Linked DNA regions of Caenorhabditis elegans. The protein of the gene in region 2 purifies or fractionates together with the protein of the main gene of each other region. This does not show direct contact. Each region holds a gene or a part of one and is shown on either strand. Other genes may lie near its edges.

Evidence for each region.
Region 1: the proteins of txdc-17 (region 2) and cox-17 fractionate together in Caenorhabditis elegans (co-fractionation; one large-scale study listed by BioGRID). This does not show direct contact.
Region 3: the proteins of txdc-17 (region 2) and Y94H6A.2 fractionate together in Caenorhabditis elegans (co-fractionation; one large-scale study listed by BioGRID). This does not show direct contact.

What each region holds. Positions count from the first base shown.
Region 1 is NC_003281.10:188,283-193,873, forward strand, and holds cox-17 (Cytochrome c oxidase copper chaperone), read left to right. Parts: upstream 1-2,703; 5' UTR 2,704-2,714; coding exon 2,715-2,807; intron 2,808-3,482; coding exon 3,483-3,581; 3' UTR 3,582-3,699; downstream 3,700-5,591. Other genes in the region: ubc-20 (UBC core domain-containing protein), read left to right, coding at 559-678, 731-826, 894-976, 1,033-1,159, 2,120-2,293; sec-20 (Sec20 C-terminal domain-containing protein), read left to right, coding at 3,824-3,933, 4,154-4,262, 4,315-4,432, 4,488-4,570, 5,263-5,406.
Region 2 is NC_003281.10:2,831,765-2,838,025, reverse strand, and holds txdc-17 (Thioredoxin domain-containing protein 17), read right to left. Parts: upstream 3,364-6,261; coding exon 3,213-3,363; intron 2,985-3,212; coding exon 2,894-2,984; intron 2,065-2,893; coding exon 1,908-2,064; 3' UTR 1,765-1,907; downstream 1-1,764. Other genes in the region: josd-1 (ubiquitinyl hydrolase 1), read right to left, coding at 144-286, 353-422, 1,230-1,387; Y71H2AM.29 (G_PROTEIN_RECEP_F1_2 domain-containing protein), read right to left, coding at 4,243-4,494, 4,857-4,877; Y71H2AM.1 (N(6)-L-threonylcarbamoyladenine synthase), read right to left, coding at 5,148-5,233, 5,545-5,656.
Region 3 is NC_003282.8:2,727,774-2,734,314, reverse strand, and holds Y94H6A.2 (DUF4781 domain-containing protein), read right to left. Parts: upstream 4,024-6,541; coding exon 4,017-4,023; intron 3,962-4,016; coding exon 3,678-3,961; intron 3,562-3,677; coding exon 3,436-3,561; intron 3,380-3,435; coding exon 3,251-3,379; intron 3,204-3,250; coding exon 2,959-3,203; intron 2,414-2,958; coding exon 2,198-2,413; intron 2,146-2,197; coding exon 1,911-2,145; 3' UTR 1,893-1,910; downstream 1-1,892.

The sequences.
Region 1 (5,591 bases), 2.6 Mb from region 2:
GAACGGGTTTCTCAATAAACAAATGGAAATTCCCTCTAAACCTTGAGAAAATTAGAAGTATTTCGGCAAAAACGTTCAATTTTCTTTTTTGAGAAAAATCATGATGCAAAAACTAAAATTCCTATAAAAACTTAATCAATCTGTGAATCGATACTTCCGATCACGGGTTTGATCGTTTGAACCCGTTTTTTCTCGGCGACAACGATGCTCCGACTTAACGCACGGTTTTCTCCGGTTTTTCCGGGTTTTTGTTCAATTTTACTGTGATTTAAGCAATTTTTCGCATAAAAATTGGTTTTTCAACATTTTTCTACATGATTTTTGATTTTTATTCACGAAAAACGATGAAAAATCGATGAAATTCGGGGAAAAACAAAAATTTCAGTTGCAAACGATGCTCCGAAATTCCGCGGCGCGCCCTGTTTATCATGAGTTGGTGTTTGAATAATTTTGATGATAATTTCAGACTTTCTCGAAGCTTTTTCGATAATTCCTTGAACTTCATGATTTTCGTCGATTTTTCAGAGTTTTTCCACTATTTTCCATCGTTTTCAGACCATGTCGAACATAGCATTCAACAGACTCCAACGAGAATGCAAAGAGGTCGTCACAAACTCGGAAATCAGCGAAACCGGAATTATGATCGAGATATTGAACGAGAATCTCACCGAAATCAAGGTAAAACGCCGCGAATTGTGTGTCGGAAATCTCAATTTTTATCGGTTTTCAGGGACACATCCGCGGTCCACCAGACACTCCATACGCCGGTGGAATGTTCGATTTGGATATTAAGATTCCAGACCAATATCCATTCTCGCCACCAAATGTACGAGTTTTTCTGCCTGGAAAGCTTGAAAATTGTCGAAATTTGTGTAAAAATCGCGGTTTTTCAGGTCAAGTTCAGCACAAAAATCTGGCACCCGAATGTCAGCTCGCAGACCGGCGTCATTTGCCTCGATATTCTTAAGGATCAATGGTAATATTGCGATTATTATTTTAAAATCGGAAAATTTAATTTATTTTCAACTTCAGGGCCGCTTCGCTGACTCTTCGCACGGTTCTCCTGTCGATTCAGGCGTTGATGTGCACACCGGAGCCCAAGGATCCTCAAGATGCCGTCGTCGCCAAGCAATACATGGAGAAGCCAGCAGTTTTCAAGGTAGCAGCGTGGAAAATTCAGAAAATTCGCGGAAAAATGGGGAAAATATTGCGAAATCCGATTAAAAAATCAATATGGGTCTGCTAAGTAATTAAGTAATTAGCAGACCCAAATCTTCCCTTATTTTGTGTGTTTTTTTGCGTATTTTGCCCCAAAAATTATCTATAATTTCCCATTTTTCAGGCCAACTCGAGTTTTGAAGCGTCAAAATTGAGAAAATTCGATGGGAAACGTGCAAAATTCGTTAATTCCCGAATTTTGGAGACAATTCTGACTGTTTTACACTGAAATGCACGATTTTCTCGGAAAATTATTGATTTTTGCCCTGAAATTTCAGAATTTGGCCGATTTTCTTTAGAATTTGGGTCTGCCAACTAATTAGCAGGCTTGTAGAAACGCCACGTGGTTTTCGATGGTCTGCTAAATATTTAGCAGACCCAAGTATGGTCTGCTAAATAATTAGCAGACCCAAGTATGGTCTGCTAAATAATTAGCAGACCCAAGTATGGTCTGCTAAATATTTAGCAGACCCTAATCCCGTATTTATCCTTTAAATTTAGTTTTTTTCGCGGAATTTACTGGTTTTTTCTTGTTTTTCAACCAGGAAATCGTTCAAATTCATCACTTTTTGTCCCAGAAGCCGAGAAAAATCAGTTTTTCAGCTCATATCGAAATTTGTTTTTCAAAAAGAAATTATAAAAAAGTTTAGCAGACCCAAAACTCAACAAATTTGGCGAAGTTGTTTTTAGTCTAAAAACTCGAATTTCCCCGAAAATTCGTTGTTTCCAGTGAGTGTAAAAACTCGAGAAATCTCAAAAAAAAAATTGGTTTTCATTCGAATTTTCTCAATTTCCACGCTTGAAAACTTTAGGTAGCCTAGAAAATAGACAAACATAGACAACATAAACTGAATAATAGCCTAATATGCTCTTAATATACTAAATTTCCACCATTTTTCAGGCCACCGCCGAGTACTGGACGACAAAATTCGCAAAGGGAGCCGTGAAAAACGCCGGATACCAGGCTCTCGTCGACAAGCTCAAGGATATGGGAGTCCGTGAGGAAGAGGCTGTCAGCGTGCTCAGCTGCAACAATTGGGACATCAATCGCTCGACGGTCTACATTTTCTCTTAAATTCTTTTTTATTCGATTTTTTTGAATTTTTTCTGTGAGCCTCTTGTCTTGAAGTTTGTGTCCTAAAAATCCCTTATTTCTTCCATTTTTTTCCGAGAAATTTTCGTCCCCAACCCCCCGCACCACTGGTATTTCTTTTTACCAATTCGTACCATCCTCACCCCAAAAAAACCGATCAGAATAGTAGATTTTCCGCCTGATTTGTGTGTGTTTTGCCTATTTATTATCGATATTATTCATTGAAATTTCCCCCCTTTGACCCCCATTTTTTTTGCAACGATACTCTTTCCATGAATTATATTGACGGAGTTGTAGCTGCAATTTTTATCCGATTTTCTGAAAATTTTTGGCGAATGTCGTTTTTAATATCTTTAAAACTCCATTTTTATCTGTAAAATCTATAATTTTAGCACCCAAAAAAATGCCAGCAGAGCCACAAAAATCCACAGAAGCCGGCAGCGTGGCACCGGAGAAGAAGCTGAAAGCGTGCTGCGCGTGTCCTGAAACGAAACGAGTGAGGTTTTGATGGAAAATGGAAAAATGGCGAAAAATTCCAATTTTGCGGTTGAAAATCGCTAAATTTTACATTTCGACTATCCAAAACTGATTTTTCCGAGTTTTTGCATCAAAAATCGAGAATTTCTGGGAAAAAACTCAATTTTGAACATAAATTCGAAAAAAAATGGGTCTGCTAAATATTTAGCAGACCCATTTTTGGTCTGCTAAATATTTAGCATACCCAACTTTGGTCTGCTAATTATTTAGCAGACCCAAGTATGGTCTGCTAAATATTTAGCAGACCCCAGTATGGTCTGCTAAATATTTAGCAGACCCCAGTATGGTCTGCTAAATATTTAGCATACCCAATTTTGGTCTGCTAAACATTTTGCAGACCCAATTTCGAAAAATCTTAATTTTTTCCTCAAAAACGGAATTTTCTTGGTTTTTACAGCAAAAATCGAGAATTTCCGCGATTTTCTGACTAGAAAACCTGAAAAATTCGTGAAATTCGTTGAAAAAACTCAATTTGGAACAGAAATTCGAAAAAAAATGGGTCTGCTAAATATTTAACAGACCCAAAACTACACTAATCCCGTTTTCCTTAGCTAAAAACCCCAGATTTTCACACTTTTTCGTCATTTTCAAATGATTTTCCATTCAAAACAAATGAAATAACCCCAATTTTCAGGTCCGTGACGCTTGCATCATCGAAAACGGCGAGGAGAAGTGCGGAAAACTGATCGAAGCCCATAAAGCCTGCATGCGAGCCGCCGGATTTAATATTTAACTGAAATTTTTAATTTTTTTGCATTTTTGAATGTTTTGTTATAGCTGTAGCTAGTTTTCTTGTTTTTTTTCTTCAAATTTTCATATTTCATAGCTTTAACATGAATTTTTCTGTTTTTTTTTCTTTTAAAATTAGTTTTTCTCACTGAAAACCGTGGTTTTTCCATTAAATGTATATATATATATATTTTGCCACGTGGCTCTATTGTTTATTTTTTATTATTTATCTGTAAACTTTTCCAGATGGATCAAAAAACGGGCCGGCAAAAAATGGAAGAGGCCGAGTACCTCCACGTGGGCCTCAATAGAATATTCGAAATTGCCAAGGAGAAGGTGGAAGTTGTCAGAATTGGGTAAAAAAACGGAATTTGCACTTTAAAATACCCAAAATAATCTGAAAAATCGCTTTTAATGCAGAAAAATGGAAAATTTCGCATTTTTCTGGAAAAAAATGTGAAAAATGTGATTTTTCTCCAAGAAATATTCGAAAAATCACTTTTTTTATGTTTAAAAATGTGATATTTCTTGGTTTTTTTTTCAGTATTTTCGAGTATTTTAACATTTTTATTTTAGAAATGGCTCAAATGACAAGAAACAGCTAGCGAATGACGTCAGAGAGGCACAGAAGGTGCTCAGAACTATGCAAACTCGAATTTCAGACCTAAAAGCCCTCGGCAAAGATGTAATCGTCTGAATTTTCCAGAATTTTCTCCTAAAAACCCAAAAAATTCCAGATTCCATCGCTAAACGACCAAAAAACCGTGAAAATCCACGTGGAAAGCCACGAAAAACAAATGAATTTTCTGCAGAGAAAGTTGAAAGAGGGATCCGAAGAAATTCGAAAGGATATTGGTAAAAAAAATTCCAAAAAATCAGAGAAAAATTGAGAAAAAATTTGAATTTTCAGTCGAGGAAGAACGGAGATCACTGCTGATGAAGCGAGATGGGACTATGGCAACTGGAAATATTAAAATTGCGGCTCCACAAGTGGTATGGAGCTTGAACATCCAAAAAAATCGATAAATGTCCATAAAAACGCGGATTTTCGCATCTTTATGTTTTGCAGACTCTCATTTTTTTCGAATTTCTGTTCAAAATTGAGTTTTTTCAATGGATTTTACGAATTTCTTAAGCTTTTTTAGCTAGAAAATCGTTAAAATTCGTTACAATTGTGGCAAAAAAACCGGAGAAAACTCGGTTTTTGTTCTAAAATCGAGGTTTTCATCGCTTTTTTGGTGGATTTTTCACATTTTTCGGCCAGAGGATGTTTGAAATTCAATATGTTCATTACCAAGAATGGCCTGCTAATTATTTAGCAGACCCAAGTATGGTCTGCTAAATATGTAGCAGACCCAAGTATGGTCTGCTAATTATTTAGCAAACCCAAGTATGGTCTGCTAAATGATTAGCAAACCCAAGTATGGTCTGCTAAATGATTAGCAGACCCAAGTATGGTCTGCTAAATGTTTAGCAGACCCAAGTATGGTCTGCTCAATGTTTAGCAGACCCAAGTATGGTCTGCTCAATGTTTAGCAGACCCAAGTATGGTCTGCTCAATGTTTAGCAGACCCAAGTATGGTCTGCTCAATGTTTAGCAGACCCAAGTATGGTCTGCTAAATATTTAGCAGACCCAAAATCGATTTTCTCCAAACAAATTTTTTGAAAAAAAATTATTTTTCAGCGCGCAAAAGCCCTAACAGATCTCAACGCAAAAATGGCGGAGCTCGTGAGCGGCGGAGAGCAGACAATGACGACGCTGGCACATTCTTCGTCAGTTTTAGGGAATACACATTCCGAATATGACAATCAAAAGGCACTTATTGGGGTGAGATTTATGAAATTCAGGCAAAAATTTGAAAATTTCAGTAAAAAAAGCCAAAAAACCTTTTGAAAAAACTCATTTTTTTTAGAAAATAATCCCAAAAAATTCAAATTTTCAAAGAAAAATTGACAAAAAAAAAGTTGTTTCTCTATTTTTAGGGGTTTCAAATTTAAAGAAAAAAATAAAAA
Region 2 (6,261 bases):
TCTTTAAAAAATCGATAATTTTTAAAAAGAAAATTCAGTAATTTCTCATAGAAATCATCAATTTTTTGGAAGAATCGGTGATTCTTGAAGAAAAAAAATCGATAATTCTAACTTCCGAATTTATCGATTTTTCGGCAACTCACATTCCATTTTTCTGAATAACTGCAAACCAATGTCGTCCCCTGTACAATGTGAGGAGGGTCCGTGATGGAATATTAAAAACCACTGCTTTCACATTTTCCATATTGATTTTTTCGACTGAAACACGCTTGTCGAACCACATTACCTGGAAAAAATCGATAATTATTGATTTTTCGAAGATGCGGAAGATCGGAGCATCGTTGTTGTTCACCTTTAAATCGTGTTTTTGAAGCGCCGCCATCAGGATATTCGCATCGTAATTTCCGGTTCCTATCCAGGATCTGAAAAAAAATTGTTGAAATTTGATTTTTGAAAAAATAAATAATTTTTCCATTTTTTCAAGAAATTATCGATTTTTCCGGAAATTATCGATTTTTTTCAAGAAATTATCGGTTTTTCCAGAAATTATCGATTTTTCCAGAAATTATCGATTTTTCCGGAAATTATCGATTTTTCCGGAAATTATCAATTTTTCCAGAAATTATTGATTTTTCCAGAAATTATCGATTTTTCCAGAAATTATCGATTTTTCCGGAAATTATCGATTTTTCCGGAAATTATCAATTTTTCCAGAAATTATTGATTTTTCCAGAAATTATCGATTTTTCCGGAAATTATCGATTTTTCAGGAAATTATCAATTTTTCTGAAATTATCGATTTTTCCAGAAATTATCGATTTTTCCGGAAATTATCGAGTTTTCCGGAAATTATCGATTTTTCCGGAAATTATCAGTTTTTTCTGAAATTATCGATTTTTCCAGAAATTATCGATTTTTCCGGAAATTATCAATTTTTCTGAAATTATCGATTTTTCCAGAAATTATCGATTTTTCCGGAAATTATCGATTTTTCCGGAAATTATCAATTTTTTCTGAAATTATCGATTTTTCCAGAAATTATCGATTTTTCCAGAAATTATCGATTTTTCCGGAAATTATCGATTTTTCAGGAAACTATCGATTTTTCCGGAAATTATCGATTTTTCCGGAAATTATCGATTTTTCCGGAAATTATCGATTTTTCCAGAAATAATCGATTTTTCCGGAAATTATCGATTTTTCCGGAAATTATCAATTTTTCGGCGTACCTATGTGGATTAAACCATTTACTCTCATTAAACGCATAGCAAATTTCGTCCATTTTTGTCGGATCAAATTCGGATTTTTGTAGAATATTGTTAACCGTATGGATAAGGCAGTATTGAAGACGTTGCTTTTCGTGATAAATTTCTGGTGATGACGTCATCTGGAATATAAATCTAATTGGGGTATTGGATGCTGAAATTTTTTCTATTTTTAAAATGTCGTCGAAATCGTAAATATTTTTTTTGCAGTTTATCGATTTTCTTCTGGAAAAAAATCGATAAAATATTGATTTTTATTCAAAAATTTCATGAAAATTATCGATTTTCTATGACTAAATTATTAACTTTTGTGCGAAACAAAATCGAATTTTATTTGAAAATCGAAATTCGAATTTAGTATTGATTTTTCAGAAAATTTATTCAAAATATCGATTTTTCCTTTTTTTTAATTCAAAAAAAAATCAAAAATCAATTAAAAAAAATTAAGCATAAAATAGGGCACATCCTCTTTTTGAAAAAAAATCAAAAAATCAAAAAATCCATCACCAAATCCTTTATATAAACTGAACAAAATTTTTTTTTTAAATAACAAAAACCATAACCCCAATTCAAAAAATCGTCTAAATATCACAACAAAATGGCGGAATTTTCAGCACAATAAATAGCCAAAAAATCGATAATTTAGTCTTCCTCAGTGAAAAAGTCCTTGACGAGATGCTTATTGGCAATTTGTCTCTCCAAAAGACGTTTTGCCTTGTTTCCAACTTCCAAAAGTGTCGGAATACATGTCAATTTGAGTGTTGGATCAGTACGGAATCCGACAGCTGGGTCACGCCATCTGAAAATTTGGAAATTTAGAGATTTTTTGCAATTTTTTTCAAAATAATTTTTTCCGAAAATTTTTTCTTTGAGAATTTTTCAAAATTTTGACACAGTATTTCGTAATTTCATTGATTTTTTTTTCAAAAAAATTGATTTTTTATAATTTTATAGATTTTTCGTAATTTTATAGATTTTTCATAATTTTATTGATTTTTTCTTTTAAAAAAAATTGATTTTTTATAATTTCATTGATTTTTTATAATTTTATTGATTTTTTCCAGAAAAAATTGATTTTTTTTATGATTTTATTGATTTTTTCTTTAAAAAATTGGTTTTTTTAAATAATTTTATTGATGTTTCTTTAAAAAACAATTGATTTTTTATAATTTTATTGATTTTTTCTTTAAAAAAATTTATTTTTTATAATTTTATTGATTTTTTCTAAAAAAAATTGATTTTTTTTGGAAAAAATCAATAAAATTATAAAAAAATGAATTTTTCCAAAAAAAAAAATGATTTGTCGTAATTTTATTGATTTAAAAATAATTGATTTTTTATAATTTCATTGATTTTTTATAATTTCATTGATTTTTTATAATTTTATTGATTTTTTATAATTTTATTGATTTTTTATATTTTTATTGATTTTTTTTTTCAAAAAATTGATTTTTCGTAATGTTATCGACTTTTTCCAAAAAAAATTTGATTTTTATAATTTTATTGATTTTTTATAATTTTTTGATTTTTTAATAATTTTATTGATTTTTCGTAATTTTATTGATTTTTTCCAAAAAATATTGATTTTTCGTAATTTTATCGATTTTTTTTTACAAAAATCCACGAACACTTCACGATTTCCGACGAAAACAGTGACAAAATGGACATCGAGTCCGGCGACGGCGGCGTCCTTGATCACTTCTTCGACAACTGGCTCAGCTGAAATTCAAATATATTATTTTTTTAATTTATAGGCAGGCGTGAGGTGAGCAGTAGGTAGGCATAGGTATGCGGTAGGCAAAGGCAGGCACACCGTAGGTAGGCATGTAGACTGTAGATAGGTGAGTAGGTAAGCACAGAAGCGGCAGAGGCTGTTAGCAGATAGGTACGCAGGGGATGAGCTAGGCGGGTAGGTAGGCAGGTAGGTAGGCCATCAAAATCTCGTACCAACAACACAATCCGGGCACCAAGACTCTCCGGTTGTCAGAATTTTGGATCCAGTGAACAGAGCGACGACTCGTTTTCCTTTTCCAATCGATTTCAGTGTCTCCTGAAATGCTTCGTATCCCTGAGCAGTGTAGTGTTTCAGTCCGGTCATCTGGAGAAAAAATTCATGAAATTTTCAAATTTACCACAAATTTTCAACAAAAAAATATTCGGAAGAGACATGAAAATCCTTTAAAAAACCCGAAAAATGATAGGATTTTATTTTTTTTTCTGCACTTTTGCACAAAATTTTTGAGCCATATTCCAAAATTCAAATTTTAAAATTTTTTTCTGAAAATTGGAAAGAAAAATTTTAATTTTCCCAAAATTTTCAGTGTTTTTAGGAATTTCTTATCGAAAAATTGAGAAAAAAAAACTATAAAATATTGAAAATATTTATTACGGGAACTCAAAATTTTGAGAATGCGTATTTCACAACATATTTGACGCGCAAAATATCTCGTAGCGAAAACTACAGTAATCCTTTAAATGACTACTGTAGCGCGCGGTTGTGTCGATTTACGGGATCTCGATTCTGTTAAATGAGTTGAATCATTTATTTATCGAGTTCCCGTAAATTGACACAACCGAGCTACAGTAGTCATTTAAAGGATTACTGTAGTTTTCGCTACGAGATATAGTTATATTTTGCGCGTCAAATATGTTGTGAAATACGCATTCTCAAAATTTTGAGTTCCCGTAATAAATATTTTCAATAGTTTATAGTTTTTTTTTCTCAATTTTTCGATAAGAAATTTCTAGAAACACTGAAAAATTTTGCGAAATTTAGAATTAATTTGCGGCAAAATTCATATTTTCGAAAAAAAATTAAAAAATCAAATTTCAATTTTTTTTCTAGAAAATTTTAGAGAAAAAAATAATAAAGTAAATAAAATCTTCGGAATTTCAAAAACCGATAAAAAGCAACAAAAAAAATTAATAAAAAAATTCAAAAATCCCCAATAATTTATTCCATTCAAAACAAGGTAATCTATTTAAGCAATCTCTTGAGCTCAGGCTTCGTCGATGCATATTCATTGATTGTAACACGGGCAGTTGCTCCAATTCCAACACGAACAGCAGTTCTAGACAACCAATGAGCATTCGAATGGATTCCATCACAAATTCCACGCATTTTCTTCACTTTTAGAAGAGATGAGCACAAAAGAATGACAGTTATAAAGCTGAATGTTATTGGAACAATTGAAATCAGCACAATCCATGAACTCATTTGCTCGAATTTCTGCAAAAAAAAAGAGGTTTCGGGGGGTTTTTACCTACGCCTGCCTTATGCCTAAACCTTTTGCTTTTGAAAATACGAAAAAAAAACGGAAAATTGGCGAAAAATGGCTGCCTACTCGCGTGCCTACCATTAAATCAATTAGTATTTCTTAACTTTTACTTGGAAAAAAAAACGAAAAAATCGTTGCCTACCTGGCGCCTACAAGCGTGCCTACTAGAAAGTTGGTATAAAATCACATTTAAAAAAAAACAATCACATCACATTTGCCCACCTGCAAGGCGACCAACGCCTATTGGTTCGGCGTACCTGCAGGCAGATAGTTAGGGCCTGGTAGGTTGGTTTCGGTAAAAAAAAAGCCATACCTCAGCACATCCGTCGACCATTTTGTTTCCCGTTCCTTTTTGTGCAAAAAACGTGTGAAGAACAGGAGAAAATAATAAAGAAATGATTGAAAATTGGACGGGGGATAACTATTTTCAAAATTTCGAGAAAAAAAAAACGTAAAATTTTAAAGAAATGAGAACAGCCACGCGGCACAACAACAACAACAAGAAAAGTGGAGAAAAATCAATAAAATTAACGAAAAAAAAAACAACGTGAAGCAGAAGAAATGCCTGCCTACGCCTGTAGGCAGGCAGGTAGGTAGGCACCGATTAATCTCTCCATTCAACGTGAACCTGATCCGTTCTATATCGCTGGGTGGTTGTGGTTTTACGAAGGTCGAAACGCATTCCGGAGGCTGAAATTGACTTAAAATTACAATTTTTGGGATAAAATTATGTCAAAAATCGCGAATTTTTGCATTTTTCGGTTAATTTTTTAGTCAAAATGCGATTTTCAGATAAAAATAAGTGAAAAAATTGATTATTAATGCAATTTTCGAATGAAAATCCTGGTTTTTTCAGTGAAAAATCGATTTTCCAGGTGAAAATAAGTGAGAAAATTGACTTTTAATGCAATTTTCAGACAAAATCCCTTGTTTTTTCAGCGAAAAAATCGATTTTTCAGGTGAAAATTCGCAATTTCTTCAATAAAACACACACTGCATACCCAACATGAGCTCGCCGGCTCTTGCAATCATTGCACCGTTATCAATACAGAATCGTTCATCAGTTGCAAATAAGTGAGCACCTCTTTCCGCACACATTGCTGATGCCATTTCCTGGAAGAAAATCGGTCAGAAATTCGATGATTTTTCCAGTAAAAATATTCAAATTTTTGAACTCAGCGCGGCGCCGAGACCTTCAATTTGACACCCAACAATTGGGTCTCGCAACGAAATATCGATTTTCCGACTAAAAAAACTTAATTTCAAAGTATTTTTCGCAAAAAATCAAAGGGAATTATTTATTGCCTCTTTTCAATTTCTTGTACGAGAAAAATTCAACACTCAAATAGTCAAGACGTGGGCGGAGCCTATTTTCGAAAAGTCGATATGTGGGCGGAGCTTGCTTTCAGTAAGTCAAGGTAGGGGCGGAGCCTATTTTAACAAAAAAACCAAAGTTTGGGCGGAGCCTATTTTCGAAAAGTCGAGAGGTGGGCGGAGCCATTAAAAAGTCGAGATGTGGGCGGAGCTTGTTTTCAGTAAGTCAAGGTTGGGGCGGAGCCTATTTTAACAAAAAAAACCAAAGTTTGGGCGGAGCCATTAAAAAGTCGAGATGTGGGCGGAGCTTGTTTTCAGTAAGTCAAGATAGGGGCGGAGCCTATCTTCGAAAAGTCAATATGTGGGCGGAGCCTATTTTCGAAGTCAAGATGTGGGCGGAGCCT
Region 3 (6,541 bases), on a different chromosome or scaffold from region 2:
GAAAATCGAGAAGCCCGAGCAGTTAATAGAACAATAGGTGTTACATACTATATATTTTTTTGTGACCTGGAGCTTCCATGTAGGCGTTAAAACACCTGCCTGCCTGACCTTAAGACAACCTCCGCCTGCCTCTCGCCACAACCCGCTTCTTATGCTAACTAGTAAAGCATACGTGATTCTTTTTTTAATTTGTGATTTGATATTTATCAAATTTATAGAAATGAGAAAATTATATAATAAATTTGTAAATTCACGTAAAAATGCAAACAATGAGCAGGAAGGCTGGCGGGCAGGTCCCTGAAAACGCGCTTGCCTACCATGGAAGTTGTTTCCTATTGTGACCTACATCTTTCCCGCTTGCTCTGTTGTCCTCTATCCCTCTATAAAAATCAGGTGATTGTGAATTAGAGTTTTCTACTACTTGTCTACTACAATCTTCATAAAACAAAACGGAATAGATGTTAAACATATTTATTCAAATCGGAAGAAATTTAGAATGTAAAATTGTTAGATACAATTGAATGGTATTTAGGGGGAATGAGTCTCGGCTCAAAATTCATAACTATTTTGTTGCATAACGATTGATTTGACAACGTGAGAACGTATATAATCAACCACGATGTAATAATCTTTTATTTTACTGTAATTTCAAAATTCTCGAATCACCAAATGTTCCAAGAAACTTCCCCCAGGAGACATCTCACAAAAACACGAAGCATTATTGTTTTCGAATCTCTAACTGTAATCTTACATTTTATTCCGAGTTGATAGTGAGTAAATTTTACCCATCAAACTCAGATAAAAACCTGCAAAGAAGTAAAATCAGTAGAGTTTTTTTGATTATCATAAAAGATAAAATCTGTGCTGCCAGCTGAACGAAATTGCCGAATAGTATACATTTTCGCAATTTCCAATCTATCAATATACAGGGTGCGCCAAAAGTATGGTAACACGTGAAGCGCTCTTTTACATGAGCTTTTCGCGCGACTGCCACTTCATACATACAATTTTCTATAGAATACTGATAGCTGAATAAATTTCCTTCAATTTGACCTAAAATTTGTAATGTTTCCCAATAAGGTGTAACCTTTATCACCTCGGCAATTTGACGAACCCTTTCGGCAAAACAAAAAAAAAGTTTTGGCACGCGGCACTTCCCACACAAACGCACATCCCACGCACGCCAATAATTTTCAGATCTATGATTTTTATGTTAAATTCAAAGTTAAAGAAGTGAAGAAGCGTTTTTAATTGTTTTTGTAGTATTTGAAAATTTTCTGTATCGACACTGGCGCCTAGAAAAAACCTTTGAATATTTCATGAATTCAACTTTGCGAAAATTACTCAGTTTTTTTTGTCTTCACAAGGTGTAACGACCCACAAAATCATCCGAGCTTAATCTTCTATTAAAATTCTTGAAAGTCAGATCAAAACGTTCCCCGAAAAATACTAAAATGAGTTTTCCTGCATACTGCTGCCGCCGCTCACATCTATCTTTCTGGCGACTGTGTCATTCAAGGCTTCTATGTCATTCAAACTACTGCCACAGTCATACCATGACAGAACTTTTTTGGATTTTTGTTTTCAAAGAATCTCTAGACCAAGAGCATTCTTTGAACTATAAAAACTTGTAAGATACTTGATGGGTTCCTCGAAAAAAAAAAAGTAAAAATCCCGCAGAATGCCGACTTGCGTGCCATCAAGAACGTGATCTCAAAAGTTCGGAAAGCCTGCAGCGATGCGGTTAGGGAAATTTTAAAAATTTTAAACGTTAATCTGGTCAGTATTTCATGGAGATCAAAATTTATACAAATTGATGTAATAACTCTCGCCACACGTGAAGTTACAGAGCTGCAAACGTGTTACCATACTTATGGCGCAGAAGAAAAATCAATCAACAATAACTTTATTTAGGATACACCTGCAAATATCCAAAACGATTTACGATCATAGTTTTTTCCCAAAAAAGTCTTTTCGAAAAATCCCTCAATCAAGGCGCCGGGTCTTTTTGAATACTCATTTAAGTACCAGTTCACCGGTCCGAAAAAGATAGTAGTGTTGCGCCGAATGATCAACACAAGTCCACATTCATCGCCGAACCGTTTGCAAAGCTTTTCCGCATAATCAATCAATTTGAATCTGTAGCTGAAAAAATGTTTGGATCAAATGTTATGCCATTAAGCCGCAAAATACAAACTCGTATTCCATTGGAAGGGCAGCTTGCAGCTTTCTTTGAAGGTTCTCCTCGTGCCTTTTGCAATCTTGGGTTCTGAGGCTTCGTAAAACAAAAGCATTGCACCCGTTTCGATTGAAAGAAGATTTAAAATTGCGTTTGAAATAGCTGTATGAAGTGAATTGGTACTCCTCAGATGAACCGTCACAGAAATCGTAGACGATCACGTAAAATTTGTGGCTGAAATATTTTGGAAAATCAATTTGAAATCTGACTGTTTGCGATATGGTGTGCAAAAAATGGTTACATTTGTAAGTGGATGTGAGAAAAATTACTGACGTTCACAGCAGGGCTGTCTTTTTTTGAATAAATTTTCGGAAAACGCAGATTTTTTGGCTTTTTTGGTCTTTCGGGACCAAAATCTTTTATATTTTTTCACAAATTAAAAAAATTCCAGAAAAAAATTGGTTGGCCCTCAAAAGCCTAGAAATCATCAGAAATCTGCAAAAATCAACATTTGGAGGAATTTTACGGGCTGCGAAAATCGTGAAAAATGCATTGAAAATTTTTCAGAGCGACTTCTTTCCAGTTCAAAGTGCCTAAATTGACCGGGGTTAAATTGGAATACTTCCTTTGTAAGCCTAATAATGGAAATACTATTCACGTTTTAAATAACTTAACAGATAAAATAATTGCTACCCCGGTCATAATTTAATTTGAAAAAAGTAAAGTTATAATACACAATTACCCTTTTATGTCCCTTGTCAATTTACAAAAATACTCACTTTGTCATGATCTTGCCCAATTCTTTAGTCAAAATATTTCGTATATTTTCACTTCCCTCATTATTGTCTTGCACATTATGGATTAAACTTAAGACTCCATCGTCCCAGTACGAGTGATCTTGACGGTATTCTTCAGCCCATCTATTCATTTTCAGTTGTAATTCTTCGGTTTGCTTCTTTAAACGACTCGGTCCAATCATGTTCTTATCGCAAAACATTCCATTCTGGTACGTCTCCAAAATCAGCTGAATATGATACACTTTATTTAGTGAGGGATGTAGTGAGTACCTACACATTGGGCAAGCACTCCGTCGATTATTTTTCTCCATTTTTCAAAAGTTTCCGTTGGTCGAAGAGGATCACAGTTCATTGCCATTTTGAGAGGATTCGTTTCCTCCTGGTCGAGTTTTATAATCATTTGCTGGAAATTTGAAGCTGTCTAACATTGAAATCTTGTGATTCCTTAATAAGTCCTACCTCTGCAATCCACAAAGGTTTATTATCCGTCACAGCGCCACGAAATAGCTCTTTTGTGTATTTACAAGGATTGTTCATCGTATCCTGCATGTATTTCATCAACGTTTTGATTGTAGCGACCTCATTCTGCAAAATTTTGAGTAAGGGTAAAGGGTGAAGGTTAAAAAGGGTCGTGATTAACTTTTTTCCTGCGCAGAAGGCTTCGTAACCACACTTTGAACCAATATCTATTCCGAACATACCATGTAAAAGTGAGACGTTGTTATAAATGACTTAAGATCACCGAACAACGCGTCCATCTTATGTGACAGTTCCCCAATCTTCTTGTCGAGCGTTTTGAGCTCGCTGAGTATCAGCTCCGTTGATTTGTCATCTTTGTATGCAGCCATCGTAACATATGCACTAACTATAGCACCGCATGCACAAATCGCAGTTAAATGCGGAACCACTGCGGCGGACGCATAAGCCCCATGTACTCCTAGGCAGCCAGTGACCACCGAAATAAATCCCGTCGTGTAGTTTACAGCTGGAAAATTGAGAATTCGATTCAATTTCATATTATTTTAAAAATAGAATCTTACCAGCCATCTTGAAATATATAACTGTCTCCAAATAGAAAAGCAATGATGTCTTATCTTTCTTTTCTCTGTTCTTGTTTTATACTCTAGTGCTACACATTACACGCATGCCATTTTTCTTGTGGAACTAAGTATGAGGAATACTGACATTTTCTTTATCAGGAATGCTAGCGTCTTCCTCATAAAAATTCGGAAAGGGCAAAAATGTCAAAGAAAATTATGTGTTGAAAATACTCAAATATGTCAATAGTACCAAGTGACTCATTTAGGGAACACGATTTTTGGCATAGTAAGTGAGTTCCGAACTAAAGAACTAAACTATAAATTCTGATTTTTTTAAAAGATTTTAAAAGAAAGAAAAGATTTATTCACAAAAAACATGTAAAAGATACATTAGTTTTCCTTGAAGGTATTAGATAAAATATTTATTTAAAAAAAAAGAAATCGCAAAAAGATAAAATGTCGTAGTTTTTATTACAATGGAACGGTTTTGAATAAAAACTACAAATATTCATCGAACACCAGCAATTATCTCAAACTTTTGACCGTACCAGTACTGAAAAAAGTCGCCACTACCAAAAAAAAAGTCAGAACCATTGCCCTTGAAACATCTCTCAATACAGTCACCGGGTCCTCTGGGATAATCGTCTGGGTCACAGTTTACCCAACGTTTGCGAATGTTTCTATGTTTTCGAATAATCCCCACAAAGCCACATTCGGCGCCGAACGTTTCGCGAAGACCACGCACGTACTCACGAAGGTCATGAATGCTGAATATTGATTTAAATTAATTAATGGTGTTTTCTTTAAATAAATACCGTATTTTCCGTATTAGTTCATATTGCATTAACATTAACATTAATTGTCTTCAGTTAAACACATTATAAAAGTATGGTAGTGGCGACTAATATAGAAAATGCGGTACACTGTACTTACTACGACTGTGGAGGTGTTGCATCGAGCATCCTTCGAAGAATCTCCAGGAGATTATGCGGAAAAGCTTTGCGAACGGTTCGGCGATGAATGTGGACTTGTGTTGATCATTCGGCGCAACACTACTATCTTTTTCGGACCGGTGAACTGGTACTTAAATGAGTATTCAAAAAGACCCGGCGCCTTGATTGAGGGATTTTTCGAAAAGACTTTTTTGGGAAAAAACTATGATCGTAAATCGTTTTGGATATTTGCAGGTGTATCCTAAATAAAGTTATTGTTGATTGATTTTTCTTCTGCGCCATAAGTATGGTAACACGTTTGCAGCTCTGTAACTTCACGTGTGGCGAGAGTTATTACATCAATTTGTATAAATTTTGATCTCCATGAAATACTGACCAGATTAACGTTTAAAATTTTTAAAATTTCCCTAACCGCATCGCTGCAGGCTTTCCGAACTTTTGAGATCACGTTCTTGATGGCACGCAAGTCGGCATTCTGCGGGATTTTTACTTTTTTTTTTTCGAGGAACCCATCAAGTATCTTACAAGTTTTTATAGTTCAAAGAATGCTCTTGGTCTAGAGATTCTTTGAAAACAAAAATCCAAAAAAGTTCTGTCATGGTATGACTGTGGCAGTAGTTTGAATGACATAGAAGCCTTGAATGACACAGTCGCCAGAAAGATAGATGTGAGCGGCGGCAGCAGTATGCAGGAAAACTCATTTTAGTATTTTTCGGGGAACGTTTTGATCTGACTTTCAAGAATTTTAATAGAAGATTAAGCTCGGATGATTTTGTGGGTCGTTACACCTTGTGAAGACAAAAAAAACTGAGTAATTTTCGCAAAGTTGAATTCATGAAATATTCAAAGGTTTTTTCTAGGCGCCAGTGTCGATACAGAAAATTTTCAAATACTACAAAAACAATTAAAAACGCTTCTTCACTTCTTTAACTTTGAATTTAACATAAAAATCATAGATCTGAAAATTATTGGCGTGCGTGGGATGTGCGTTTGTGTGGGAAGTGCCGCGTGCCAAAACTTTTTTTTTGTTTTGCCGAAAGGGTTCGTCAAATTGCCGAGGTGATAAAGGTTACACCTTATTGGGAAACATTACAAATTTTAGGTCAAATTGAAGGAAATTTATTCAGCTATCAGTATTCTATAGAAAATTGTATGTATGAAGTGGCAGTCGCGCGAAAAGCTCATGTAAAAGAGCGCTTCACGTGTTACCATACTTTTGGCGCACCCTGTATATTGATAGATTGGAAATTGCGAAAATGTATACTATTCGGCAATTTCGTTCAGCTGGCAGCACAGATTTTATCTTTTATGATAATCAAAAAAACTCTACTGATTTTACTTCTTTGCAGGTTTTTATCTGAGTTTGATGGGTAAAATTTACTCACTATCAACTCGGAATAAAATGTAAGATTACAGTTAGAGATTCGAAAACAATAATGCTTCGTGTTTTTGTGAGATGTCTCCTGGGGGAAGTTTCTTGGAACATTTGGTGATTCGAGAATTTTGAAATTACAGTAAAATAAAAGATTATTACATCGTGGTTGATTATATACGTTCTCACGTTGTCAAATC